Oryctolagus cuniculus: one gene and its partners. The protein of the gene in region 3 purifies or fractionates together with the protein of the main gene of each other region. This does not show direct contact. Links are inferred from orthologs where the notes say so. Each region holds a gene or a part of one and is shown on either strand. Other genes may lie near its edges. The genes, in order: CSNK2A2, TCOF1, NOLC1, NOP56, ARRB1, NOP58 and ARRB2.

Region 1 (3,500 bases), on a different chromosome or scaffold from region 3:
TGTTATCTGGAGAGAGTGGTGAGCCAGGGTAATTTAAATTAACAACAGCAAAAAAAAAAAAAAAAAAAAAAAAAACTCCAGGTGTTCTGCTCTAGAAGGGACCTTTTAGACAGCTGCTGAAACTAATTTTTTAACGAGTGCACCTGCTCACATTTTGTTTGTGGCCATATAATCATTGCCTGTGTGATGAAGCCTTGTTCTCTGGCACTGGCGCCTGGAAACCCTCCTCTCACGCGTTCTACTCCTGTCGTGTTTGCAGCTACGACTGATAGACTGGGGCCTGGCAGAGTTCTATCATCCTGCTCAGGAGTATAATGTTCGTGTAGCCTCGAGGTATTTCAAGGGACCAGAGCTCCTTGTGGACTATCAGGTAAACTTGTTAGTAGAGCTTCTTGGGGTTTTTTTTTTTTTTTTTTTTTTTTTTTTTTTTTTTTTTTTTTTTTTTTTTTTGACAGGCAGAGTGGACAGTGAGAGAGAGACAGAGAGAGAAAGGTCTTCCTTTGCCGTTGGTTCACCCTCCAATGGCCGCCGCTGCAGCCGGCGCACCGCGCTGATCCTGGCAGGAGCCAGGAGCCAGGTGCTTTTCCTGGTCTCCCATGGGGTGCAGGGCCCAAGCACCTGGGCCATCCTCCACTGCACTCCCTGGCCATAGCAGAGAGCTGGCCTGGAAGAGGGGCAACCGGGACAGAATCCGGCGCCCCAACCGGGACTAGAACCCGGTGTGCCGGCGCCGCAAGGTGGAGGATTAGCCTATTGAGCCACGGCGCCGGCTCTCTTGGGGTTATTTTGAAACTTCTTTGGGGCTTTCCCTCTTTGCTGTTTATTTAGTCAGTTTAGGTCCTTCCAGAACCCAGCCATTATTCTACCCCCCAAAAGCAACTTGCAGATTTTTTTCGGGTACTTTTTTTATATGAGGAGAGGCAAGCTTTCAGTTCTTAAATAACCTGTAAACGCAGATAAGAGATGCTTAGCAGAGAAGCGGGTTTCTGACACTGTTGATCGTTATTGCCTCAGATGTATGATTACAGCCTGGACATGTGGAGTTTGGGCTGCATGCTGGCAAGCATGATCTTCCGAAAGGAGCCTTTCTTCCACGGGCAGGACAACTATGACCAGGTGAGCGGACGCCATCCACTTCTGTCTACTGGGGCTGAATGCCAAGAAAAGGACGTCTGGACTGTTGCTGCAGTGTAGTGGTTTAAGCTGCTGCTGGCTATACCTGCTATATGTCCACGGGTTCACTCCCCAGATTGCTGCAACAGTCAGGGCTGAGTCAGGCCAAAACCAGGACCTTCATCTGGATCTCCCATGTGGATGGTAGGGGCCCGAGTGCTTAGGCCATCTTGCTTTCCCAGGCACATCGGCAGGAAGCTGGATCAGAAGTGGAGCGGCCAGGACATAAACCAACCCCTATATGGGGATGCTGGCCTTTGCAGCCCAACCCACTAGGCCACAGTGCTCTACTTCTGATCCTGCTCTCTGCTAATGTGCCTGGGAAAACACTGGAAGGTGGCCCAAGTACTCGGGCCCCTGTACCCACCTGGGAGACCAGAGTTCCAGGCTCCTGGCTCCTGCCTGGCCTTTGCAGCCATTTGGGAGTGAACCAGTGGAAGGAAGATCGATCGATTGCTCTTTCTCTGTCTCTCTTCCAAATAAATATATAAATAAATACATATTTAAAAAAAAATAATGTCCTTAGTGAGGAATGCTATTTTTGAGCCACTCACTAAATAGCAATGTCTGCATATAAACGTTTCTTCAAGGTAAAGAATGTCTCAGTCTTCTCTCTGGTTACAGAGACAGATGATGTCCTCTGTGCTACACTTGCCAAGTGATTTTATGAAGCAATTGGGGCCCCTCCTTGACTACTAACAGCAGATTCTAGATTGATACTCCCGTGATCATGAGCTTCCAGTAGGGTGATAGGCATTTATGTGGACGTCATGTTCTTGGATTTGTCAGCCCACATTAGACTCAAATCTGTATCTGGGCCCTGGAGGCCTGGTGGTGCGGAGTCTTCTGGCTCCGCTGGTCCTGTGTCCTCACAGACTTGCAGTCCGAGTGCTGTGCTCAGTGATTTGGTCAGCTTGTTTTATGTTTCAGCTTGTTCGGATTGCCAAGGTTCTGGGTACCGATGAGCTGTATGGGTATCTGAAGAAGTATCACATAGACCTAGATCCACACTTCAATGATATCCTGGGACAGTAAGTAAGGGGGGGGGGGGGGGTTGACCTCACCCCATTTTGGAAGCGGGAAGGTTAGCCAAAATCACTTTTCTTTCCCCTTCCTACTTGTACCAAAAGTGAAATGCTCTTTTTTTTCCCCATGTGTATTTTGAGATAACTTGGGCATGATATGTATCTTCTAATCATTTAATTTCTTCAGGATATAACTTGTGTTTGGATAGAAGATAGAAAATAAAATCATAGTGTTAGAGAAAACTTTCTGGTACAGCATGTGTTTATTTTAATGGCAATCTTAGAAAGCTGTGATTGTTCTTTGAATAAGAGATTATTAGATTTTCTGTGTTCTCTATAGCATATTTGAATTTCCAGGTGCAATGCCATCATGTTGAAAAGTTTGACAGTTTCCAATAAACAGTATATTTTTTGGAATTTTTGTGTTTCTGAGGTTAGTCTCTAAATATGTCTCCTGACCAGTAAATATAACTCAGAATAACCGCCTGGGGCATAAAAGATTACTGAGAAAGGTTACAAATTCTAAATAAAATTTTGAGATTTTGACTAGTTCTTTTGAATCCCAGGGCACTGTTTTGTGTCATGATGCTATAATATGACAGTGGGGGGCAGGGTGGGCACCCGTGAAAATGAGATGTAGCAGGATCGTAATGAGCCCAGGGTTCCATGATTTTGTTGACTTTGGCCCTAATAGGTGAGGGCTCTTGTACTCTCATTGGTATTCTGAGTCATGGTCTAAGAGTACCAATGCTTCCTTTTTCTTGTCAGACATTCCCGGAAACGCTGGGAGAACTTTATCCATAGTGAAAACAGACACCTTGTCAGCCCTGAGGCCCTAGATCTTCTGGACAAACTCCTGCGATACGACCATCAACAGAGACTGACCGCTAAAGAGGCCATGGAGCACCCGTACTTCTGTGAGTCACCAGGGACTGGGGTCCGGGGTTTATCTTTCACTCGAGGAAAAATCTTTCCCCCTTTATCTTTGAGACCGCTCAAAGGCATTCTGGCTCTTTGGATTAGATTGTTGCAGTTTGACCGCATTAGTCCTAGACAGCTGAGACAACTTTGCAAATTGGTTTCTTGATCCCCAGAAGTATTTGCTTGTTCACAAGCTGGAGCTCCCTTGGGTGCAGTCTATTTGACAGTTTCCTAGCCCCTCAATTAATAGACCCCAAAGATGTAAAAATTTGTTTTCAAACATATACATTAAGAAGCAAGTAATTAGAGGTGAGCGTTTGGCACGCACATCCTGTATGTATCAGGGTGCCAGGATTTGAGTTCCCTGCCTCACCTTCGTAT
Region 2 (3,500 bases), on a different chromosome or scaffold from region 3:
CTGCGCGAGGACCTTCAGGGCAGCCTGGGTCAGCGGGAGGGATGCTGGGTTCCTCTTTGCCACCTGTGGATAGCAAATAGCAGCCCTGAAATTCATGGGTTCTTGGGGTGTCACCTAGGCCGTGCCTGGATCAGACTAGGTCTGGCTGCGGTGGGAGGGGACCATGGGACTTGAGTTGGGGGGCTGAGGGACAGTCATAAGAGCAATATCACTCTCTAGGCAGAGAAAGGAGTGCCAGGCCTCAGGTTATGAGCTGGTCCGTGTTCTCAAAGCACAGAGCGAGCTTCCTAGGCCAAAGCAGGGAAGGGGCCCGGGCCCTACAGGAAGCTCCACACTCAGTCTCTGCCCTCCTCGGAGACCCATCTCATGCCTCGTGGTCTCCCTGGTACCACTCCTACTTCTTCCACCCACCAGCACTTGGAGAGAACTCAAAGCTGGGAGAGTCCTTGCAGAGGGCCTCAAGGTTCCCACGCAGGGCCCCTCAGCTGTCGCACAGCCCCTCTGCCTTTGCTACTTTCTCCCTACCTTCTCTTAGATGCTTTCCCAGGCCTGGGGTCATGGCACCATGGCCTTCCTGCCTGCATGGCACCCCAGCACACCCTGTACGCGGCCACGTCCCCTGCTTCAAGGCCACCTCCCGGGCGAGCATTCCCTGCCCAACTTCCTATAGCAGGTCACCCCATCATCCTGAGCTTGCGCTTGGTGCCCTCTGCAGCACCTCCAATTTGGTGAGAACTTTTTGTTTAATGGCTGCTGTCCTCCCCGTCCTGCTCTGGCCTCAGCCCCAAGGCCTGGCATGGAGGGATACAGGGTTTTGGGGGCTGTGACCCCAGCCTGGCTACCCACCCAGCACCCATGCTCCCAGAAACTCTCCCTGGACTGTGGCTCGTGAAGAGCCAGTGAGAGGGGGGCATGCCCAGGTACCAGTGCCTCAGAAAGAGGCATGGAGTCTGCAGTGGGCATCTCTCCAGGCGATGGGCAGCAGACTAGTATGGCCAAAGATGCTGAGGGCCAAGAGCTAGGTCTGCCGAGCCCAGGCCCGGTCAAACTGGAGGCCCCTGGGGAGTGCACGCTAGTTTCAACATTGAGATAGTGGGCCACCAATCCTGCCCTGCGCAGTCTTGAGATTCAGGCAAGGACCAAACACGCACTGAAATGGTGACTGTCAGGGAGACTGATAAAGTCACCATAACACATGCTTAAGTAGAGCATTTATCATGTTCATGCAAAGAAAACAAAAATGCAACTGGCCAGCAGAGCTGTGTCCCCAGACTGCTCTTCCTGACAGCTTAAGGTGGCTCTGAAACCTGCGGGCTGTGGCCACAAGACCAGGAAGGCCTTGGCTACTGCCACCGCCGGGGTGCACAAGTGTGCAAGTGACAGCCAATTGTAGCCCCTTGCCCCACAGGCCTGTGCAGGTACCTGCGGGGCTGGTGTCTCCTGCTTCTTGCCTTCTGACACCCGACTGCTCTCCTCGCTGCCGCTGGCCCCAAGGCCTGTCCTTGGGTGGCCAGTGGGCACCACGCTGGTTCTGTAGGCTGAAAAAGAGAGGGATGGGGCAAGTAAGTGCCCAGGAGCCCCACGGCCTCCCCAGCACTGGCAATACCCCAGTCCAGCACTCAGCCCTTCCTGGGGCCCTGTGCCACGCTCAGGGCTTCTACAGGAGGAAGCTGGCATAGCCCCTCCTCGAGCCTGCCAGGCGGGCGCTGTCCCTGTGTCACAGCTGGGCTGAGGGGGCCCGAAGAGCTGCTATGGCAGTGAGTTTCTTTTCCTCCGCTCGCCTCTCCGCAGGCCAGGCTGCTGCTCCTGAGCAAGAGGCTGGCAGGCGGCGGCCAGGGCCGTCCTTGTGGCTGCAACATCTCACGAAAATCGCCCAAAGTGTCTGTGGTTGCGTGCTGCTCACTGCAGCAGCGGATACAACAGTCCCCACCAAACCCTCGCGTCCTCTGACAGGGCACTGGCCAGGAGGAACCACGCGGGAAGGATAGGAGGACCAAAATCCCACAGCATCCCGAGATAGCCACTCAGAATCCCGGGGCCTCACTTTAAAGACAAACATGTCCACCCTAGGGTTTTGTAAGGTTAGCAACTAAACCCTCAACAGTGATGGGGGCAGTGGGATTACAGGGGGTGTTGTCTTCTTTTGTGCTAACCTGTATGTCTCAACTATCTCGCCAGTTATCAGATATTACTTCCTCGTAAAAGTGTAACATCAACAATGGTGACATCGACCATTTTCTTGCTATCACTGGTAGAAGCAAAGAATCTCAGAAGTCAAACCCCAGAGCTGGTCCTGTCTCTGCTGACGCAGTCCCTCCCCGAAGAGTTCCTGTTTAGGGATCACCTAATGAGACAAGTGCCTCAATACCCTCCTGACAGCCCACTGATACAGCACCCTAGCTCCAGAGGAGCCTGGTCCGGGCAGCTTCCAGCCAGTGGTCTGGGTCCCATGCCTGGGGTGGCCCAGGGAAGTCCTGGCAATTACTGCTCCAGGGCCACAGGTGAGCCAGCCTCGCATCCAGATGCCTGATGCAGAACCTGAAGGCCGAGCCCCAAGCCCTGCTGACCAACACCTGGCTGTGCAAGAGGCCCTCGTCCTGTCCCTCGATGGGGGTGGTGCTGCCGGGCCCTCCCAGCCGAGCCTGGGAAGTCCAGCACGGGAGTCAGCTCCACGCGGGGCTGTGCTCACCAGGAGCCAAGGACTGCGTGGCGGGGATCACGTCCTCATCCTCGGTGTCTGAGGAGCTCTGGGCTGAGCTTTCCGAGGCCCGGGTCTTCCTCTGGGCGCCCGCAGCCTGGGCCTGTGCGGGGGCAGCAGCCGGGCCAGCTGGACTACGATTAGGGTCGACAAAAATCAGAGGGGGTTTAATCACCTTGAAAAACAAAAACAAAACACACCCCCTAGTGATTAAAGGCTTGGTCAGAGGAAAGGGAGGTGGGGTGGAGAAGGGTTTCACAAGGCAAGGGGTCCAAAGAGCTGGGGGGTACCCCCAGCCCAGCACCTCCCAGCCCACAGCAGCCCATCTGCCCTCACACTGAACTCCCAGGGTCAGTGTGGTACAGTGGGAAAGCCCAAGTCTGCAGGAACAAGGACGGCTGCCCGAAGCCACAGAGCAAGGCCACTGGGCACAAGAGCCTATTTAGCCTGTTTGCCTCTGACCGTCTTCAGAGACAGCTACCCCCGAGGCGGGCCGAGCAGCGTTCTCCACGGCTCCCAGGTGTGGCGCACAGTCTACCGGGGAGGCCTCCACAGCCCAGCTGCCCCATCCTGGGAACACTAGGCAGCATTCCCAGGACGCGGCTCCCCAGGGACACCCACCTCACTTCCCAGCAAATAAGCTGCCCAGGGGACTGGGCTGGAGAGTGGGGCAGCATCCAAAGCTGATGAACGAGGGGACCAACTGTCCCCCGACGTAGCACCCAGTGTTGGGACTCTTACTGAGCACCCCATCACGAGACCATCGGGGAAGTGGGGTGCTGTCTGGGTGGGTCCCTTTCAG
Region 3 (4,087 bases):
TAAGATTTATTTTATTTATTTGAAAGACAGAGTTACATAGAGAGGTAGAGCCACAGAGAGGTCTTCCATTCCGCTGGCTCATTTTCCAAATGACTGCAACAGCCAGAGCTGAGCTGATCCAAAGCCAGGAGCCAGAAACTTCTTTCGGGTCTCCCACACAGGTGCAGGGGCCCAAGGACTTTGGCCATCTTCTGCTTTCCCATGCCATAGCAGAGAGCTGGTTTGGAAGAGAAGTAGCCAGGACTAGCTCTGGCGCCCATATGGGATGCTGGAACCTCAGGTGCCAGCCCCCAGGCAACATTTTAAAAATCAGTCATTTTGGGGCCAGCACTGTGGAATAGTGGGTAAAACTGCTGCCTGCAGTGCCACCATCCCATAGGGTACAGGTTAAGTCTCAGCTGCTCCACTTCCAATCCAGCTCTCTGCTTTGGCCTGAGAAAGCAGAAGACGGCCCAAGTCCTTGGGCCCCCACACCTGCCTGGGAGACCCGGAAGATGCTCCTGGTTCCTAATCGGCACAGCTCTGGTCGTTGTGGTCAACTGGGGAGTGAACCAGCAGATGGAAGACCTCTCTCTCTGTGTAACTCTGACTTTCAAATAAATAAACAAATCACTAAAAAAAAATTTTATTTTACCCTGAAATAAGGGCACAAACACTAATACAAGTGGGAGTTTGCTTCAATGTGAATTATTAGAAACAAGCCTCCAAGAGAACACTGGTGGACACTGTATACTGCAAAGAATGGTACTCAACCATTAATTACTCTGATACAGATGAACTGATTAAGAAAAAAAAAAGAGTGACAGTACATAGAAGAGTACAGGCTCAGAGTCAGCTGAGTATAGGAATAAAGTGTGTGATCTTGGGCAAATTAACCCAAAATTTTTCTTTCTATAAAATGGAGATAATACTACACATCTCAGAGAGGATAACAGATAAGGTATATATGGGGCCGGCACTGTGGCGTAGCAGGTAAAGCCACCACCTGCAGTGCCGGTATCCCATATAGGTGCTGCTTCAAGTCCCGGCTGCTCTACTTCCGATCCAGCTCTCTGCTATGGCCTGGAAAAGCGATGGAAGATGGCCTCAGTCCCTGGGCTCCTGCACCCATGTGGGAGACCCGGAGGAAGCTCCTGGCTTCAGACTGATGCAGCTCAGGCCGTTGCAGCCATTTGAGGAATGAACCAGTAGATGGAAGACCTTTCTCTTTCTCTCTCTCTGCCTCTCTGTAACTGTACCATTCAAATTAATATATAAATCTTAAAAAAAAAGTGATAAGGCAATAAGAACTTAGCATTTAGCAACAGCATCCAGCCCTTCGTTAACTCTGCACAAAGATGAGCTTTTGTCATATAAAACCCAGGAATATTAACTGTCCATTGTGGAAACACTCCTGGCAGTCTCCTTATCAGTCAACTCAAAGCAGTTCCAGTAAGCAAGTAGTTAGATCCCTCGGAGGGCTGTTCCAGTCTTAATAAATTCTTCCTATCACTGATCTGATCGCCTCCTGTTGCAATCCACTCTGACTGCTACAAAGAACTAGTTATCTTCTTGGTTCTATCATCTGCCTAGGACTACCACTCCATCTCTTTCCGGGTGTTTTCTGATGCATGTGTCAGCTTTTCTTTGAGATGTAGATTTTATAAATCTTTCTCATTCCAGACCACCTTGCTCTTACAGGTGTTTGGAGCATACTAAATTGCCCTAAGTATGAATAACAACTTTTACTCATCCATGCACCAGACTGAGATTGCCACTTTGCATATTTTATCGTACTGATATTCATAAAGATCCCACGAGGTGAACAATAACTTCCTGCAGAAATAAGGACAGGGAGGTTAATTAAACTGCCCAGGTCACACACCTTGGAAGTGGCAAGGCCTGGTCCCAAACATAACTTAGTTTGAGTCCACTAGCCAAAGTTCCTGGCCTGCTCCTATGTCTCCTTGGTAGGGCTGTTTGCTATTCAATCCTATACTCAAATCATTACAACCAAAAACGGAATCCTACCTCTCTTTAGCAACGAAAATCCCAGGCTTTGTTCCTAAAGCAATTTCATTTATCTGTGAGGCCAGGGAAATTCGACCGAAACTATGGTCAAATCACACACTGCCTCAGCCAAGGAGCACCCCCTCCCAAAAGCGCCGCCAATGCTCTCAATGGGATACGGCGTTCGCTCCTCGCCGCACTCTGCGAGCCACGTGACCTCGACCACGCGGGTCCCACGCCGCTGCCTCTCCACCGCGAGGAAGCAACAAGACAGTGTTACCTACTCAGACCTCGCAAAAGGGACTCCGGGGCCATGGGCTTTCTCCAGCCACTGCCGACTGATCGGAACAAAGACCTCGCTAATGCTGGGCTGGTGGACCCCACACACCTGCTCGTCAGGAAACCTAAGCATGCCAGGGCCTGGACCCTGTGCCCATCCCGCCCCGGCCCGCGTCCGAAGCCCGAGACTCACAGCGCCTGTCGCTTTGGCGAACTTATTGGCCACCTCCGAGAGCTGGTTATCGCGCAGAAAGCCGAGCACGAGGGGATACAGGTCGCTGGGAACCACGCGGCGCAAGCCGGCGTCCGCCATCCTCCCGGCAGTACGCGTCACTACCGTTGGCGACGCACCTCGACCTAGGAACCCGAAAGGCGCAGGGGGCGGGCGCGTGACGTCACTTCGCCGCGCGGGCGCAGAGCGGAAGGGGTGGGACTCCACAGGGCAGTCCTGACCCCACCCCGCAAGCGGGGTCAAGGCGAAAACCCTATGCTCCTTCCGGTCCAACGCAAATCGCCATCTTGGTAAGGGTGGAGTCCACCGGCCGCCGCTTTTGTGAAGGCGGAGCTCTGACGTCAGGGTCACGCCCTCGGCGTGGCGGGAAAACTCGGGACTTCCCGCGCCTTGTCTTTGGGCGGGAGGCATCCTTTCCGAGTGTGGGTTTCCCGCGCCTCAGCTGGGACGTGGACCACATTAGTGACTGGACCCGTGGGCCCTCGGCTCTTTAGACAGGGTCACAGAGTTCCCAGCTGCCCCCGTTCCCGATGCCCGTGGTTCCATTCTTCATTTTCACCGCAGCCGACACATAGTGAGGGTCCTGGTAATACCACCCCAGCCTTTCAATTCCCCTCTCCACTGCAGAGCCTCCCTCAAGTTACCAGTTGTTTGGGGGAAGGGGCTGGACGTGTTTTGATTCCCAGAACTGCTCCTCCCTCAAGTCATGATTTTTTTTTTTTTTTTTAATGTGCTGACTGTGGGTTCATCATACATTGCTCTGATGGTTTTGAGGACTGTTCCTTTTTTTTTAATCTGAGGGGCCGGCGCCATGCAGTAGCGGGTAAAGCCAATGCCTGCACTGCCAGCATCCGATATGGGCACCGGTGCAAGTCCCAGCTGCTCCACTTCCAGTCCAGCTCCCTGCTAGTGTGCCTGGGAAAGCAGTAGAGGATGGCCCAAGTCCTTGGACTCCTGCATCCACGTGGGAGACCCAGAAGAAGCTCCTGGCTCCTGGGTTCAAATCGACCCAGCTCTGGCTGTTGTGGCCATTTGGGGAGTGAACCAGCAGATGTTCACTCTTCTCTGCCTCTCTGTAACTCTGCCTTTAAAATGAATCTTTTTAAAAAATTTTATTTGAGAGGCAGAGTTTGAGAGGGAGACGAGAGAGAAAGCTCTTCCATCCCCTGGTTCACTCCCCAAATGGCCACAATGGCCAGAGCTGGGCCATCCAAAGCCAGGAGCCAGGAGCTTATTCAGGTCTCCAATGTGGGTAGAGGCCCGAGCACTTGGGCCATCTTCCACTGCCTTCCCAGGTCATTAGCAGGGAGCTGGATCAGAAGAGGAGCAACTGGGACTCAAACCAGAGCTCATATGGGGCTTAACCTACTATGCCACGGCAACAGCCCTGACTTGGTTCTAAGACAACCTTCCTCCTTGCCTTATAGGCAGGTTATGTTTAGTTTAACTCCATGAAAGGGAAAAGGTTGGTACAACCTTAATCACACAGCATTAATCCCTTCAATCTACAGTCCTAAAAATAACCCTTTTTCCTTCTGGGTCAGAAGTCACCCACCCTGGGAACTCACCCACCAGGTTCTGGGCCAC
Region 4 (4,031 bases), on a different chromosome or scaffold from region 3:
AGGTAAGTGTGTAGGCTCTGGCGGTACTCAGACAATGACACCACACGGCTGGAGAAGCTCTCGATGTTGATCAAGTCGATGGCAGAGATGTCCATGCCTAGAAACACCCCAGTGTGAGTGCAGGTGCCAGCTGCTCGGAGCCCTCCCCCCGTACCAGCTGTGAGGCTCTGTGCTGACCCATGGAGGACCGGGAGGCATCCAGAATGGCCTTGGCCTTGGCGCCATCCATCGTTAGCTCCTCCAGCTTTTCCAGCTTGTCCTCGTTCAGCTCCTTTCGGTTGCCGATGAACTGGGCGAGGCGGCAGTACGTGGCGTTGTCATTGATGATCTTCACCAGCTCCGGAAAGTGATAGCCGTACCACTCCCTGCAGAGACACAGTCCCACCTGGTTCTGGCTCAGCTGCCGCAAGGCCACAAACGCACCCGCCTCAGCCCTCGCCACCCAACTCGGCCTGGAGCAAACAGGGACAAGCCCAATGCCGGTCCCCTCAACGCCTTGTCCCCCCACTCACAATACAGCCCAGGCACGATGAGGCCAGAGCTGAGGTGTACATGGGGAGGGCCTGCTCTGCCTCCTCCTTCTATACAGTCAGTGTAAGAACACAGCCTGTGGTAAGCACCAGGAGGCCCAGCCCACACTCGCCCGACCGGCGTTGCAGAGGCTCGCGGTGAGGGGCGGCCTCTGGCTGTTACCTGACGCGCATGGAGAAAGTGTTGATGTCTTTGTCCAGCTGGTCCAGGAGGCTGATGGACTGGATGATCATGTTGTCCACCCGGTTCACGTTAAACTTCACTTTGGCCCGAGAGTAGCTGTGGCCCAGGCCCAGCTGGGCTTTACACGCAGACACATCGGTCAGCCCCTTCACCAGATTATGGAAATGCAGACGGACTCCTGGGGCAGCCGACACGGGAGCGTGAGCGAGCCAGCTCCGGCACCCCGGGCCCCTCCCAGGAGCGACCTCGTGGCTCTAGCCAAGCCTCACCGCGCAGGATCTCGGCTATCACGCCTCCAGTCTGGCAGCTGTAGCCCAGCTCCTCTTGTATGGCGGCACCAATCTTGGGGTCCCCAACCCCTAAGAGCACTTTCTTCTTCTTGGACGGCAGGTGAGTCTCCAGCAGCAGGCGGAGGTCCTCGTGCACGACACCTCAGGACGAAGAGCAGGGCGCCCACTAAGTGGCTGAGGGCCGAGGGATCCCGCCTCCCCGGGCGTGTGTGGCCCAGCCCTCCCTGCAGGCATTGCTCAGAGACATGGAGACATCAGTGACAGGACTCAGGGGATTGACAGATTATTTTGAGTCATCATTGCAAAGCCTGGCTGAACCACGAGAAACAGGACACAGGCCAACAGCCCAAGTGGGACACACACCTCAACTGCAGGGGACACCCAGTGGATCCCAGACCCCAGATATGTGTGTTTCCCAGACATACCTGGGATAAAGCCCAATTTATGAATAAGGCAATTTAAGACATTAGCTAACGAAGAAACCGTATAGTAACTACAAAAGTCACCAACTGAAATCTCATTAAACCAAGTCTGGACTGGCGTGGGAGGTCCTGCTGTACAGCGCTGTGCAGTGGGCTAAGCCTCCGCCTGCAGCGCCGGCATCCCCTATGGACGCCGGTTCGAGTCCCGGCTGCTCTTCTTTCAATCCAGCTCCCTGTAGATGGCCCAAGTCCTTGGGCCCCATTTGGAGTGAACCAGCGGATGGAAGATCTTTCTTTCGGTCTCTCCCTGTCTATATCTCTACCTCTCAAATAGTATCTCCTATCCCAATTTGCCTTCTGGGACCAACACCCTTGTAATTATCAAAAGTGCCCCTTCCGACAGATTAAAAGACACAGCAGAAAATTAATAAGACAACTAATCGTGTCTAGGCAAACTTGGGCACACGTGCAGGTTAAACCAGCCACCAGAAAAAACACCACTGATCGCTAACTACAATGCTCAAAGAAACCAAAGCCTACATCGTGGGTTGCATGCGTGAAATGCACCTTAATCACAACAAGCCAGCTGACCCCGGGCGGCGACGCCGACTCACCTTCCGACACCGCGTTGGCATTTTCCAAGGCGACCTGGGACGAGGAGAAGGGCGAGAAGGCCACGAGGCGCACGATGTTGTGAAACTTGCCCAGGTTCAGCACGCTCTCCTCCACCTGCCGAGACAATGAATGGCGCGGCCGGCGGCCGACGTCAGCCCCCGGGCGCCAGGAAGACGCACCGGGGCCGGGCTCTGCTCTGGGACGCTCACTTCCAATGGCTCCTACCGCGACCCCGGCCACGCGACGGGCTGAGGACCCCCGCCCCGCAGTCTTCCGGGCCGGCCCCTCCAGCCCGCGCGGCCGGCCACGTGGGAGCGCGCGGTGCATGCCGGGGGCGCGCGACCGAGGGGCTGCAGCGCAGCCGGGCGAGCCCCCCGCGCCCACAGAGACCACCCACCTGCGGCAGCAGCAGGCTGATTTCCTCCACTTCCTTCAGCGCCAGCAGCGCGTAGCCGACCGCGTGCTCGAACAGCACGTGCAGGAGCACCTGGAACGGCAGCCGGGGTGCGGCCGTCAGCTCAGCCCCTGCGTTCTCCCGGCCACACTCCCAGGACACACCGAGGCCCGGGCTCCGGCATTCGAATTCGGATTCGAATCCAGGCCCAGACCACGGCCTCCGCACAAGCCCGCGACCCGCAACCACTCCTCACCATGGCGCCTGCTCCTTGCCCGGCTCGCAATGCGGCTCTCTGGCTCTGGCGCGCAGAACCAGGCTCCAGAGGACACGCCCCCCGTCGGGTCGGCCAATCAGAGGCCGAGGACGGCACTATCTCAGAGCCTTCGCAGGGGGTCCTCTGGGAGTGGTATCGCCCAGAGCGCGAGTCGCGGTGGAGCGGCGCGCGGACGAACCGGCCTTTTCCGGTCTCTGCGGCTGCGCGGGCGGGCGCGGTTGCCCGGGACACGCGGGATCGGTAAGGCCCTGCAGGCCGCAGGCCTGCGTGGAGGGGCGCTTTTTCGGATAATGGTCCGATGGCCCGTATTTTCGTAATTTGTGAAGCGGGGGCAGGAGGATCCCCGTGGGCGCAGAGCCCGTCCCACGCCGCGTGGCTGCCCTCGGCCTCCAGGCCCGCCCGCGCGCCCACGCTCCCGGCGCCCACTCTCGGACAGCGCCCCGAGCTCTGTGGGCTGCGCGCTGTCTCCTCTCCGGGACGCGGGACGCCCTGGCGCCGTCAGCGCCGCGAACGTGGCTCCTCGCAGCCGCATTGCCGAGTTATATGTAACTTAGTTCTAGGGCCGGATGAGTGTCGGTCGGTAGTGTAGGAACGGAGCGACCCGACCCCGAGTCCTCGTGGAGCGGTCTCGCTGGCCCGGGGCCGGCCGGGTGTTGCTCGCGGCCCTGAGGCCCGGGAGCCGCTTCTGGGGGTCTCTGGGCGACGACTCCCCATGCTGCAGCCGCGCTAAGTAATGAACTTAACAAGCCAGGCCTGGCCACCCCGAGGGAGGACGAGCACGCCCTTCCACCTTGGGCTGTTGAGCCGCAACTAGCAGGCGCGTTCACAGCTTTAGTGGACCTCAGCCGTCTGACAAATTCCCCCTTTTGGGGTTCCATGTGGTCAGGACCTCTTAATCATAATAATCTCTGTTGTGCCCCGATCACTAGATCCCCTAGAGAGTCTATCACACCGAAATGCAGATCACCAGAGACCCCCCCCCAGGGAGTGGATCACACCGAAATGCAAAAGCAAGGTTTATTGAATACAAGCCGCGACTGGGACCCCAACCAACCCACCTGCGCAGCCGAGTTAGGAGGGAGGCCCCGGTCTTCGTTTGGGAGAGTTAAAGGAAACACCCACAGGCTTCCATCAGCGGGGGCTTACAGCACGGAGTTGCTCTTAATTGAACGGGGGTCTCCGGTTGGCTTGGGTTCAGGGAGCTACTTTATTTAGCAGTTTCTTCTGAGCTGTCCATTCCAGCTTTGATGTCTGGAATGCCTGAATGCTTTTACAAAGACTCGGGTCTGCTACGGAAACAGAGGCTGCTTTTTTTTATT
Region 5 (3,500 bases), on a different chromosome or scaffold from region 3:
AACAAGGCAGGTGGTCCTATGGGTCCAGCACCAACCAGGGAGAAGGCCAGGACCTGGGGACAAGAGGGCCCTGGACCAGAGAGATTCCCCTGGGGTGACCTACCTTGCCCGTGTCCTCGGGCCCGGGCTGCAGTGTCACAGAGCATGGCAGGTTTGGAGGAATCTGTTCAGGAGACAGAACGAGCCACTGTCACCCGCACTCCTGCCACTCCCACACATCATCACACCAGGCCCTTGAGAGCCTGTGCCTGTCCCATCAGATGAGGGCCCCGAGGACAAGACACGTCTCCCCCATCAGACTAGAGGCTCCCGAGGACAAGCTGGGCCTCCCCATCAGACCGTGCCATGCCATGCCTCCCGCAGCCCTGTCGTCGCGGTCATAGCAGGGAAGGAGGCTTCCTTGGCGTCTGCTGCAGAGTGACGGCCCCCAAGGCTGCCTGCCCCCTGCTGCCCCCAGCCTGTGGCTAGGTCACCTTCCACAGCAACACGACTCTGCAGCTGCGACTGAGTCAAGGACCTGGGATTGTGGGGGAGGCGGTAATCCAGGTGGGAGGGGGGGAGGTGGTAATCCAGGTGGGAGAGGCAGTAATCCAGGTGGGGGAGGCAGTAATCCAGGTGGGGGGAGGCGGTAATCCAGGAACACGGCCACACCAGCACCCAGATCCAGGCCCGGCAAGACCCATATCAGACTTGCAGCTGCCAGAGCTGTGAGATCACCCACGTCAGCTGCCTTAATCGCTGTGGGTAATCGCCCGGGGCCTGCGGGGCAGTGCAGGAAACTCACATCCGCACAGAGAGACGCCCGCAGCCCGCCTGGCTCTAATGCCCACAGCATGGAATCAGCCTAGGAGCTCGGCGTTCTGGAACCCAGAATCTGGGTCTTGGAATCGGCAGGGGGCAGGGCAGGGCATTGGAGCTGGGAGGCAGGCGGGCCCAGCGATCTGGGGCCACACAGCACAGTGCTCCTTCTCTCTGCGGCCCCTGGGTTCCCCTCCCTCCTACTCAGCGGGGATCCCACAAGTAAGGAGGACGCTCTAGCAGTGACCAGAGAAGAGACAGGTACCAGGTCACGTAAGTGCCCCAGGGCCCAGCATACGTGGGACAAGTGGGTGACACGGAGCAGCTGCCCCCTTCCGCCCTTCCAGAAGGGGCCCGAGGGTGGCAGTCCCTGACCTCAAAGGTAAATGGGTAGGCGTGCTCGCCCAGCTTCTTGATGAGCCGCTCCTGCAGCCGCGTCAGGGGCTTCTTGTCCTCAGGGGCCGGCGGGAAGGACTGCACGTTGGCCACAAACAGGTCCTTGCGAAAGGTCAGGCCCAGGACGTCCAGGTCCTCCCGGCCATAGCGGAAGGCGCAGGTGAGTGTCACATAGACTGTGGGGGAGCAGGGGCCACTGAGGAGGGGCCTGGAGAGCAGCAGGGAGCCTCCCCCACCCAGAGCTCCCGCTGCAGCCCGGCGGTCACCCATCTCCCTTTGGAGAGGCCAGGACTGGGGGCCTGGAAGGGCAGCCCATGGGCTGTGTGCCTGTGGGTGTGTTGCCGGTGGCTATCTCTGTCCCACTCTTGCCTGGTTGGGGTGGGGGCACAGGGAGTGGTCTGATGGGCAGTGAGGGCTGGGGCTGGTGGGCAGGGGACAGCAGGGGAGGGCGAGCTAATGCTGGGAGGTGTCTGCCAGGCATCTCGTCCCTTCCTCCCGCTGACCCTGCAGAATCCCTTCCCCTCCCTGGGGCCCTGTCCTAACTCCTGCTCTGTCGGCATCCCCAGCCCTCACTGGTGTGAAAGGGCTGGGGCAGGAGGCCCCACTAGGGATGGGCAGGGAGTGGCAGTGGGATGAGCCGGAGGCCCCCTGGGAGGCCAGGAGGTCCCTGGACAGAGGAGGCGTGGGAGAGGGGCCCCGTGGCAGGTGGGGGTGGGGCTGCAGCCTACCTCTCCTCTCTTTCAGGTATTCGGGATCCACCAGGACCACACCATCTGCGAGAGCACAGAGAGAGTGACCTTCCCAACCCCTGAGCCCCAAATGCCACCCTACACTCAATCCTCCATCCACCCAAACGCACCATGAGAGAAATGGGAAGGCCAACCCCGGGGGCGGCACCCCAGCCCCAGCCCCACCAAGCCCTCCCCTCCTCTCCCCCAGGTCAGCGGGATAGACCCAGCTGACTGGGTGGCTCCGGGAAGATTAGGGACCTCTCCTCATCTCTAAGGAAGAGTAATGACATGAGGCGGAGGGAGTGGGGCGCTGTGGCGCAGGGGGTTAAGTCACAGCTTGTGATGCCGCATCCCTTATCCGAGTGCCTGGAATTGAGTCCCGTCTCTACTTCTGGTCCAGCTGCCAGCTACGTGTACACTGAGAGGCAGCAGAGGATGGCTCAAGTGCTTGGCTCCCTGCCACCCTAGTGCAAATCTGGATGGAGTTCCTGGCTCCCGGTTCTGGCCTGGCCCAGCCCTGGCTGCGGTAGTCCTCTGGGGAGTGAACCAGTGGATGGAAGATCTCTATCACTCTCTCTCTCTCTCTCTGTCATTCTGCATTTCAAATAAATAAATCTTCAATAAAGAGAGGACAGTGACACAGGCTGGGAGACCCCAGGACCACACTTCGGAGCGGGGCAGTTCTGACTAGCGCATGTTCCATAGGTCCCACACTGTGCTCACAGGGCAAGCCACTCCCCCCTCCGCAAGGAAACCCAAGGCCGTCTGTTCCTGGCCCCAGCATTCACTCAGCAGTGGCTGCACAACAGGGCGGCCCTGTCAGGCAATGCCACCCAGGACACAGCTGCCTCAGCTTCTGCATGTGCACGCAGTGACGTCACCCAATGACACATCAGAAGGCAGACGCGCCACTGCGTTCACCCCTACCCCTCCCAGGCCAGCTAGGGCCCAGCCTCCCATCAGTTCCGGTCAAGTTCCACAGATAAACGAACTGTGCATCATGCCGAGGGACAGCTGCGGGACTTTCGAGCTTCTTGCATTTGGGGTTTGTGGGTCAGGGGCTGTGATCTGCATGGCTCACTCCCAGGGCTCCTGGGAAGACTGACTGGGGACACTGTGCAAAATGTCACACGTGTGAGCCACCCGGACAGAGTTTGGCAGGCGTGAGCCCTGTGGCCAGTGAGCGAGCAAGCTGGCCCTTCAGAGCACAGGCTCCAGCCGACCTGGCGCCAGCTCCCCAGGAGCCCAGAGACACTGGCACAGGGGCAACCTCCCGCCTCACCCATGTCTGTCTCCTCTCTGATCCCCACGCCCACCCCGGGCTGCCACAGGGCCACTCGTGATCTCAGAGGCTCTGGCTGGAAGTGAGTGCCACCCTGGCAGCTCCAAGTGACAGGGCACTGCCCACACACCTTCCCTCTGTTTTGTTTTTAAGATTTATTTATTTACTTCAAAGGCAGAGTAACAGAGAAAGAGAGGTCTTCCATCTGCTGGTTCACTCCCCAAATGCCCAAAACAACCAGCACTGGGCCAGGCCAAAGCTGGGATCCTAGAACTTCCATTCAGGTCTCTCAT
Region 6 (4,235 bases), on a different chromosome or scaffold from region 3:
TCTGAAACTCGTCTGAGCACAGGATGAAGCAATAAAATAGTTTAAAATGTGAACTGCCAAAAAGGAACAAACTGACATATGCAATACTGGTTATCTTCAAAAAGAATCAAGACAAGTAAACAAAGCCCATCACAAAAAACTAAAATATTACTCTACATATGTGAAATCTCTAGAAGAAACACAATTATACAGAAAGCTGAGACTGACATGAACATGGGCATGAGAACTTTTTGGAATGAAGTGTTTAAAAACTAGATTGTAGAGGTGACATAATTGTACAAAGTTTACTAAAACACAAGGTGGGTTATATAGCATGTAACATTGCTCAGTAAGCAGGTTATATCTGAACATTTGGCATACACACCAAAATCCTCTTCTTCTAAGCCTTGAGAAAAAGAAACAATGCTACACAAACTACACAGCCACACAGTACAAGGTAAGATTTAAACGAGTTAGAATTAAAAATTAGACTTCTGCAGCCATACCACCATTTCAAGCATGCAATAACTGCATGTGGACAGCACAGCTAAAAGTCTGAGATTAACAAAACTAAAGATTGTCTAATCTTATACTGTGTGCCATATGACACAAGACACAGGTTGGGTTTTTTAATATTCTGAAAGTAACTAAGTTTTTTTACATGCTGTCTTTGCATCCATATATACAATTTTGTCAATGAGCAATAAGAAATTTCTTAGAGTCTCATTTTTCTGAATCACTATAAATGTGTAGGTACGTACTAGGTCCTAATTGAAGTGAAAAAACTACAGAATTATCAAAGCATGAATTTCATGCAACCAATATAATCTGATACCTGGATTTTGAAAGAACGTGAAAAGGAAGCTAATAACCTTGTACATTATGTACACCTTTTTCTGAGAACTCCCATATTGTAATATTTACCCTTCTCAAAATGTAGGATTCCTTTTCACAAAATTGTCCATTACTGTATAATTCTATTTATATTTATTCAAAATCAACATCCATTCCAAACAATTATAAATTAATCAACATTTCGTTGTGTTCAAGCCCAACTTATTTATCCAATATACTTTGCTGCATAAACCACAATTTCCTGATTTCCAACGGTAACTTGCAGAGAAGTAAATGGCAAGAAAACAATGAGGAAGTTTACAATGGACCTAACTGACAGACAGACTCAAAATATAACAGACCACACCGGCTCAGAGAACTGGGGACATCCGCAGAATCCTACATAATTCCGATAAAATTCCCCCAAAACTGGAGAAAAGCACAACAGACAAGCTCCAGAGCTCTCGCCAGGACTGCAATTACAGAGTCCAATGAAAGAAACCAAGCAAAACTGCCGTTTTTTAAAACCATTATTTGTCTGATTTTCTTAAAAACAACAAATATTTGAAATATCAAATGCAAGTGTAAAAAAAAGTCACAAGTGAAACTTTAGGAGAAACTCTCTGTACACTTTCCGCATCCAAACTACAAACACTTGACTAGTTTGAGTCACAACTAGAATCGTAGTATACATATTCTGGAAGGCAATTTTGGCTTTCTACCAACACACACACATATATAATAATATGTATATAATAAATTTGCTTTTGGCTCGGTGCTGTATTTGCTGAGCTCAGAAGAGCGCCCGGCACATGGCAAGCCCTCAACCTAAGATACTCTAACATCTCAACAGCAACCCACCGCAGGCAGGGCCCGCTCTTCACCCATTTCCGTCTGAGGAACTCTTTAATTCCAAACTTTCCCTACTCAAACAACCAAATCTCAAATTATCACAACCCAGATCTTCCCGTAAGCTTCAAATCTGAAACACCGAATTACCTGATCTACACAACTGCATTCTAACAGACAAGGGAAGCTTCACACAGCCCAAATTCTAAATCTTAGGGTTCCCCACAGCATTCACTGTGGTTAAGAACACTCCTGGCCGTTCTCTTCTGCACGTGCAAACTGATTTTTAGCACAGATTTCTTTCTGATGTATGCAAACTTAGTTCTTAAACCCCAAGACCACCTTCAATCCATCGGTCAATTTTGTCAGTTCTACTCAGAATTTCTCTTATTTGTTTCCCCCCATACCCAACCTTAATCCAAAGCGATTTCATTTCCTCAATTAACGCAAAAAATATCCTTGCTTCGGTTCTTACCTCCCCACAATCTAGTATCCGCACAGAAAAACCACCTTACTAAAAGGCACATTATATCGTCATTCCTAAAAGCTTTCGATCCATCTTTAAAACGCCCAGAATAGAATGTTAACGGCTTTTCACAACCTGCAAAACTCTTCACAGCTCCCGTCCACGTCTTGAACCCAGCCAAACCCCTCAACGCAGGACGAGTCGCCCCAAACGGCGGGGCCACGTGTTCACCACCGAAACACAGGCCTTCTCAGACTTTTCCCCTTTCAGAGCCCGGGGCCCTAAAAAGCTCCCGTGCGATCCTAGGCAGTCTCATCCCCTCCTTAAGTCTGACCCTCTCTTCTTCAGTCCAAACCAGCCTTCCCTGGCCAACGGCTCAATCTCCCACCTACCTTAAAGATGGCGTAGCCGACGGATGTTTCAAACAGCACCAACATGGTGAAGCCGGGTCAGGGGGCCGCAGGGCCCGCCACGGGCTTTATACCAATGCACAAGAATCAACGCGCGGCCCCCAAAAAGCGCTCCAAGCCGCGGCTGGCAAAGCACAAAGGCGCACGTCTCCCGGAGAATCACACCGCGTTACGCTGAGATTCCACGCTGTGCTGCATGTGGAACGCAGGAACCCGCTCCTCCTTCTCCAAGGATTCTGGGGGATTGACGTCACTTCCGGCAGCTGACTGCTGCCTAGAGTGGGGCCACTTCCGGAATGTTCCCGCCATAGGGGGCGGGAGGTGGGACCTCAAAATATCGCGAGATGTCTTAGGGGCGGAACTGAGTTTTTGCGCCGCCTGACCGTGCGCAGTTCTAAAGAGAAAAATTGCCTGGAAGTGAGGGCGTCAGAATGAGAACTGGACTGTCACTGTGTTTACGAGCACTCCTGGCCGTTCTCTTCTGCACGTGCAAACTGATTTTTAGCAGATTTCTTTCTGATGTATGCAAACGTCTCCCGTGTTTACTGCGGTTGTTTAAAATGATCTCGAGGTCTCCCTGTCAATATAATTAGTATAATATACTTCCTGACTTCCCAAGACCTATGTGCAGATTTTCTGTTAATATTACATTGCATTGAGGGGCTGCCGCCTGCAGTGCCGGCATCCCATATGGACGCTGCTCCACACCCGATCCGGCTCTCTGCTGGGACTGGCGAAAGCAGTGGAAGATGGCCCAAATGCTTGGGCCCCTGCACCAGCGTGGGAGACCCAGAAGAGGCTCCTGGCTCCTGGCTCCTGGCTTCGGATCGGCACACCTCTGGCCATTGTGGCCGTTTGGGGAGTGAGCCAGCAGATGGAAGACCTCTCTCTCTCTGCCTCTGCCTCTCTGTAACTTTGCCTTTCAAATGGATGAGCAAATCTTAAAAAAAAAAAAAAAAAAAAAAAAAAAACTACATTGCATTGGGAAGGCACCAAACTCTGCCTATGGCGTGTGCCCAAACTTCGAGGGGTTCGAGCTGGGAGACCTAAAAGTTCCGATGAGGTTGTCTAAAACGAAAACCCATGTCAGCAGTGTCTTTGGTGGCTCCATGTGTGTTAAATATGTCTGCGACAGGATCAAGCGTGCCTTCCTTAAGGAGGAGCAGAAAATCTTAGTGCAAGTGTTGAAGGCACAAGTACGGAGTCAGAAAGCTAAATAAAAACATGAAACATTTGAGAAATTAAAACACAACAACAACAACAAAATATTACATTGCAGCCTGCTCAAAATTATGAACACCCAGCGACTTGATTTTCTCCAGCAACTCTACAGCCTGGGATCAGGAGGAAAGGAAATCCTTGACCGAATAACAGTCAACAAATAAAGAGAGGGAAAATCAAGCGATTAGATATCCAGGTAGACATTAGCTTATGTGTGTTCAAGGGGCTGAATTTTTCTGTGGCTGAATGAGGGAAGAAATGTGGAAGTAAGCTTTGGAAGTGAACCAGCATTTGCGCATCAAAAGTCTCGTCCTTGTTCCATAACCTTATAGGGGTCCCAGCCCTCTCCCTGGAGCAGCTTAGGGGAATCTTTTCTGGCCTGCTCCAAAGGGGGCTATGAGATCCAATAACCCTGTGCTGGTGGAGTCCTGGGAGGAATTTTATGAATTCCATGGCCAGAAAGCCCCTCCACTAAG
Region 7 (2,830 bases), on a different chromosome or scaffold from region 3:
TCACAGGGGAGGAGGTCTGGGCTCCACCTGCTCATGGGCAGGAAGAGCGTGGAGCCAGCTGGCTGCGGAGGAACCCCCTTCTCGGTGGAGACAGTTCAGGAGGGACTGCACCCCCCCACACACCTGACACTCGCCCAGGCCTCGCCTTCTCCCCCTGACACTAGGACCCGGGGCTGTTCTCATACTCACTCCTGCTCGAGCTGGGCCACGGGACACTTGTACTGGGCAGTGCTGAAGAGGCAGATGTCGGCGTACTGTCTCACTGTGGGACGGGCGAGGTCAGGCAGTGCCACAGCCCCGGGCCCCGCCCCTACTGCTGCCACGCCTCCCAGGCCAGTCTGGGGCAGCATGGACTCTGTGCACCCCAGTGGGTCTCTCAGGCTGGGAGATGGCCTGGGCCGAAACTGCAGCAGCAGCCACGGAGTCAGTGACACGCGCCTCCCCCAAGAGCCCCTGGCAGCCCCCACCTCCTACCAGAGACTTTGATCTTCTTGACGGTCTTGGTGGAGTTGTTGGTGACATGGACATTGACATTGAGGGGCTCCCCGTGGTAGTACAGCTTTGGAAGGGAGAGTGCCCTGTGAGCCCCGCCTGGGCCTTCACTGCCCCGTTCTCAGCGTGCTCCCAACAGAGGCACACTGCTGTCCTCCCCCAAAGCCAAGCCCACAGAGCTTCTCCCCCCACCACTGCGGCCGCTTCTGAAAGCACCTCTACACCTGTGGCTGGCTCCCCCCTCCCGCCAGGGTCTGGCCTGCTCTGTGGCACCTGCGCCGCCCCCTCGCACCCCACCTCCTTGTCCAGGGAAGCCTCAAGGTGCAGGGACCGGTCAGACATGAGGAAGTGGCGTGTGGTTTCAGCCGAGGGCTGGGGGCCGGGCTTCTCTGGGGCAAACTGCACTTTGCGGATTACCAGTCGCACAGAGTTCCTGGGGGGCGGGGAGGAGCAAGTCCTCAGATCCCTGAAGTCTGCACCCACCCCCTAGAGGGGCTGGGGCAGGGGGGGCTGCAGGGAGCAGCGAGGGAGTGGTTCAGCCATGGAGGAGGCTGCTTCCCTCACCTTTTGTGGCTTTTCTCTTCTAGAGATTTGGCACAGAAGGCTCGAATCTCGAAGTCTACCCCGCAGGCCTGGGGGGTGGGCAGAAAAGGCAGCCTCTTACACAAGGCCCCCGCCCCCCCCCCACTTCTCTCCCTGTCCCCCCTCTTGGGCTGGGGTGCTCCTGCCCCTCGTGGTCCGAGGAGCACACAGGGTCTCCCTGCTGTGCCTCCCCCGGCACCTGGCAGAGGCTTGGTCATGGCAGTGCACGGGCAGGTCAAGAGAGCAGGGGGCAGTGACCCCACGGTGTCCCCATTCCCACAGGGGACAGTTCCCTAGCAAGCCACTCCTGTACCTTCCCCGTGTCCTCTGGTCCCGGCTGCAGCGTGACGGAGCAGGGCAGGTTCTGGGGTATCTGCAGCAGGGGAAAAGGGGAGGCTTCAGCCCCCCTAGAAAAGACCCCAAACCTTCCTCCCAATCTCAACATCAAAGGCTGGAGGAAGGGAAGGGCCCCAGAGAGGAGGCCAGGTGCAGGGCTTCCTGGATACGGGATGACTGACGGAGGTGGACCTGTCCGTGACAGGCACCTCCCTGCCCCTGCCCCTGCCCCACCTGCACACACTTCCCAGGTCCCTTGCCCTGCAGAGGGGGTGGGGCATCCTCACTGTGAAAAAAAAGGGGTGGGCATGCTGGCCCAGCTTCCTCAGCAGCCGCTCCTGCAGGCGGGTGGGGGGCCGGGGCGGGCTGGGCGTTGGCGGGAAGGCCTGGTAGGTGGCGATGAACAGGTCTTTGCGGAAGGACAGGCCTAGCACATCCAGGTCTTCGCGGCCATAGCGGAAGGCGCAGGTGAGGGTCACAAACACTGCAAGGGAGGGTGGGGGGTGCGGTGAGGAGCACCCCGTCCCAGGAGACTGGCCCGGAGCCCGCTCCCAGCTTCCGCCTCAGCCCTCCATCTCTCTGGGGTACCCTCCGATGCCAGCCCATGCCACGTGGGCCAGTACCTTTGCGGTCCTTCAAGTAGTCAGGGTCCACGAGCACCACGCCATCTGGGGAGGGACACAGGGATCACTGTCTGACTCACTCTCGGGGAGCGAGCAGCCCCTTCCTCGCTGGGGACACTTACCGACGGGGTCCACTTTGTCCAGGTGGTCGACAAAGTCCCGCTTGCCCAAGTACACGGTGAGCTGAGGATGTCAAGGGGTCACAGGGAAGAGTGGAGAGCATGGTGACAGGGCGTCCACCCCTCCCCCAACCCCGGGGCGCCTGCCCCGGGCTCTCCAGCCTGGGCTTTCTCTAGTTTTCCTCCCAGCGCTGTTGAAGGGTGAGGGCGCTGGGGGTTCCCTGCTGCCCAACCAACTTTTGGGCTATTTTGCTGCTCCCTAACCTCTCATCACACCTGTCTACCAGCCAGGTGTGTGTGTAGGTGTGTGTGTGCGCGCGCCTCCGCAGGGAGGACCAGCTGGTTAGATTTCAGCTGCCAGCCTCCAGGGTGCCCCAAGGAGCTCTGGGATAAACAGACCATCGCCTGGGGGTGGGGTAGCTGTTAACTTTTCCCAGCCCCAGGCCCTCTGGGTTGGCTCCTGGGACAGCTACAGGTACAGGGCTGGCTTCTGGGCTCCTCCCCTTTGGCCTTGCTTAGGGACCCAGGCTTGGCCCCAGCAGCCTTGTGGCCAGGGACTCCAGGAGGGAAGGAAGTCAGCTCGGGGCTGTCACAGGAAGTGGGGAGCTAGGGCCGGGGATGGTCTAGGGGCAGACCGGGCCCAGGGAGGGTCAAAAGGTTGGATCAGCAGCGCGGGAG

The links.
Region 1: the proteins of NOLC1 (region 3) and CSNK2A2 purify together in Homo sapiens (affinity purification with mass spectrometry; 5 studies listed by BioGRID and IntAct, with this or other methods). This does not show direct contact. The link is inferred for Oryctolagus cuniculus from reciprocal best matches to the Homo sapiens genes NOLC1 and CSNK2A2.
Region 2: the proteins of NOLC1 (region 3) and TCOF1 purify together in Homo sapiens (affinity purification with western blotting; 4 studies listed by BioGRID and IntAct, with this or other methods). This does not show direct contact. The link is inferred for Oryctolagus cuniculus from reciprocal best matches to the Homo sapiens genes NOLC1 and TCOF1.
Region 4: the proteins of NOLC1 (region 3) and NOP56 purify together in Homo sapiens (affinity purification with mass spectrometry; 6 studies listed by BioGRID and IntAct, with this or other methods). This does not show direct contact. The link is inferred for Oryctolagus cuniculus from reciprocal best matches to the Homo sapiens genes NOLC1 and NOP56.
Region 5: the proteins of NOLC1 (region 3) and ARRB1 purify together in Homo sapiens (affinity purification with mass spectrometry; 4 studies listed by BioGRID and IntAct, counting the BioPlex papers as one, with this or other methods). This does not show direct contact. The link is inferred for Oryctolagus cuniculus from reciprocal best matches to the Homo sapiens genes NOLC1 and ARRB1.
Region 6: the proteins of NOLC1 (region 3) and NOP58 fractionate together in Homo sapiens (co-fractionation; 3 studies listed by BioGRID, with this or other methods). This does not show direct contact. The link is inferred for Oryctolagus cuniculus from reciprocal best matches to the Homo sapiens genes NOLC1 and NOP58.
Region 7: the proteins of NOLC1 (region 3) and ARRB2 purify together in Homo sapiens (affinity purification with mass spectrometry; 5 studies listed by BioGRID and IntAct, counting the BioPlex papers as one, with this or other methods). This does not show direct contact. The link is inferred for Oryctolagus cuniculus from reciprocal best matches to the Homo sapiens genes NOLC1 and ARRB2.

What each region holds. Positions count from the first base shown.
Region 1 is NC_091449.1:41,524,230-41,527,729, reverse strand, and holds part of CSNK2A2 (casein kinase II subunit alpha'), read left to right. Parts: intron 1-259; coding exon 260-370; intron 371-1,014; coding exon 1,015-1,116; intron 1,117-2,103; coding exon 2,104-2,204; intron 2,205-2,966; coding exon 2,967-3,115; intron 3,116-3,500.
Region 2 is NC_091437.1:37,672,035-37,675,534, reverse strand, and holds part of TCOF1 (treacle protein), read right to left. Parts: intron 2,874-3,500; coding exon 2,690-2,873; intron 1,539-2,689; coding exon 1,423-1,538; intron 64-1,422; coding exon 1-63.
Region 3 is NC_091446.1:27,777,595-27,781,681, forward strand, and holds the start of NOLC1 (nucleolar and coiled-body phosphoprotein 1), read right to left. Parts: upstream 2,801-4,087; 5' UTR 2,582-2,800; coding exon 2,462-2,581; intron 1-2,461. UniProt on the Homo sapiens protein: Nucleolar protein that acts as a regulator of RNA polymerase I by connecting RNA polymerase I with enzymes responsible for ribosomal processing and modification.
Region 4 is NC_091442.1:28,154,815-28,158,845, reverse strand, and holds the start of NOP56 (nucleolar protein 56), read right to left. Parts: upstream 2,801-4,031; 5' UTR 2,695-2,800; coding exon 2,692-2,694; intron 2,529-2,691; coding exon 2,439-2,528; intron 2,156-2,438; coding exon 2,041-2,155; intron 1,310-2,040; exon of another isoform or gene 1,238-1,309; intron 1,146-1,237; coding exon 984-1,145; intron 893-983; coding exon 694-892; intron 630-693; exon of another isoform or gene 495-629; intron 366-494; coding exon 178-365; intron 98-177; coding exon 1-97. UniProt on the Homo sapiens protein: Involved in the early to middle stages of 60S ribosomal subunit biogenesis. Required for the biogenesis of box C/D snoRNAs such U3, U8 and U14 snoRNAs. Part of the small subunit (SSU) processome, first precursor of the small eukaryotic ribosomal subunit.
Region 5 is NC_091432.1:66,421,641-66,425,140, forward strand, and holds part of ARRB1 (beta-arrestin-1), read right to left. Parts: intron 1,968-3,500; coding exon 1,923-1,967; intron 1,371-1,922; coding exon 1,174-1,370; intron 164-1,173; coding exon 104-163; intron 1-103. UniProt on the Homo sapiens protein: Functions in regulating agonist-mediated G-protein coupled receptor (GPCR) signaling by mediating both receptor desensitization and resensitization processes.
Region 6 is NC_091434.1:37,711,662-37,715,896, forward strand, and holds the start of NOP58 (nucleolar protein 58), read right to left. Parts: upstream 2,801-4,235; 5' UTR 2,566-2,800; coding exon 2,521-2,565; intron 1-2,520. UniProt on the Homo sapiens protein: Required for the biogenesis of box C/D snoRNAs such as U3, U8 and U14 snoRNAs. Part of the small subunit (SSU) processome, first precursor of the small eukaryotic ribosomal subunit.
Region 7 is NC_091448.1:51,501,635-51,504,464, forward strand, and holds part of ARRB2 (beta-arrestin-2), read right to left. Parts: intron 2,217-2,830; coding exon 2,156-2,216; intron 2,079-2,155; coding exon 2,034-2,078; intron 1,895-2,033; coding exon 1,698-1,894; intron 1,448-1,697; coding exon 1,388-1,447; intron 1,125-1,387; coding exon 1,057-1,124; intron 926-1,056; coding exon 790-925; intron 560-789; coding exon 475-559; intron 263-474; coding exon 190-262; intron 1-189. UniProt on the Homo sapiens protein: Functions in regulating agonist-mediated G-protein coupled receptor (GPCR) signaling by mediating both receptor desensitization and resensitization processes.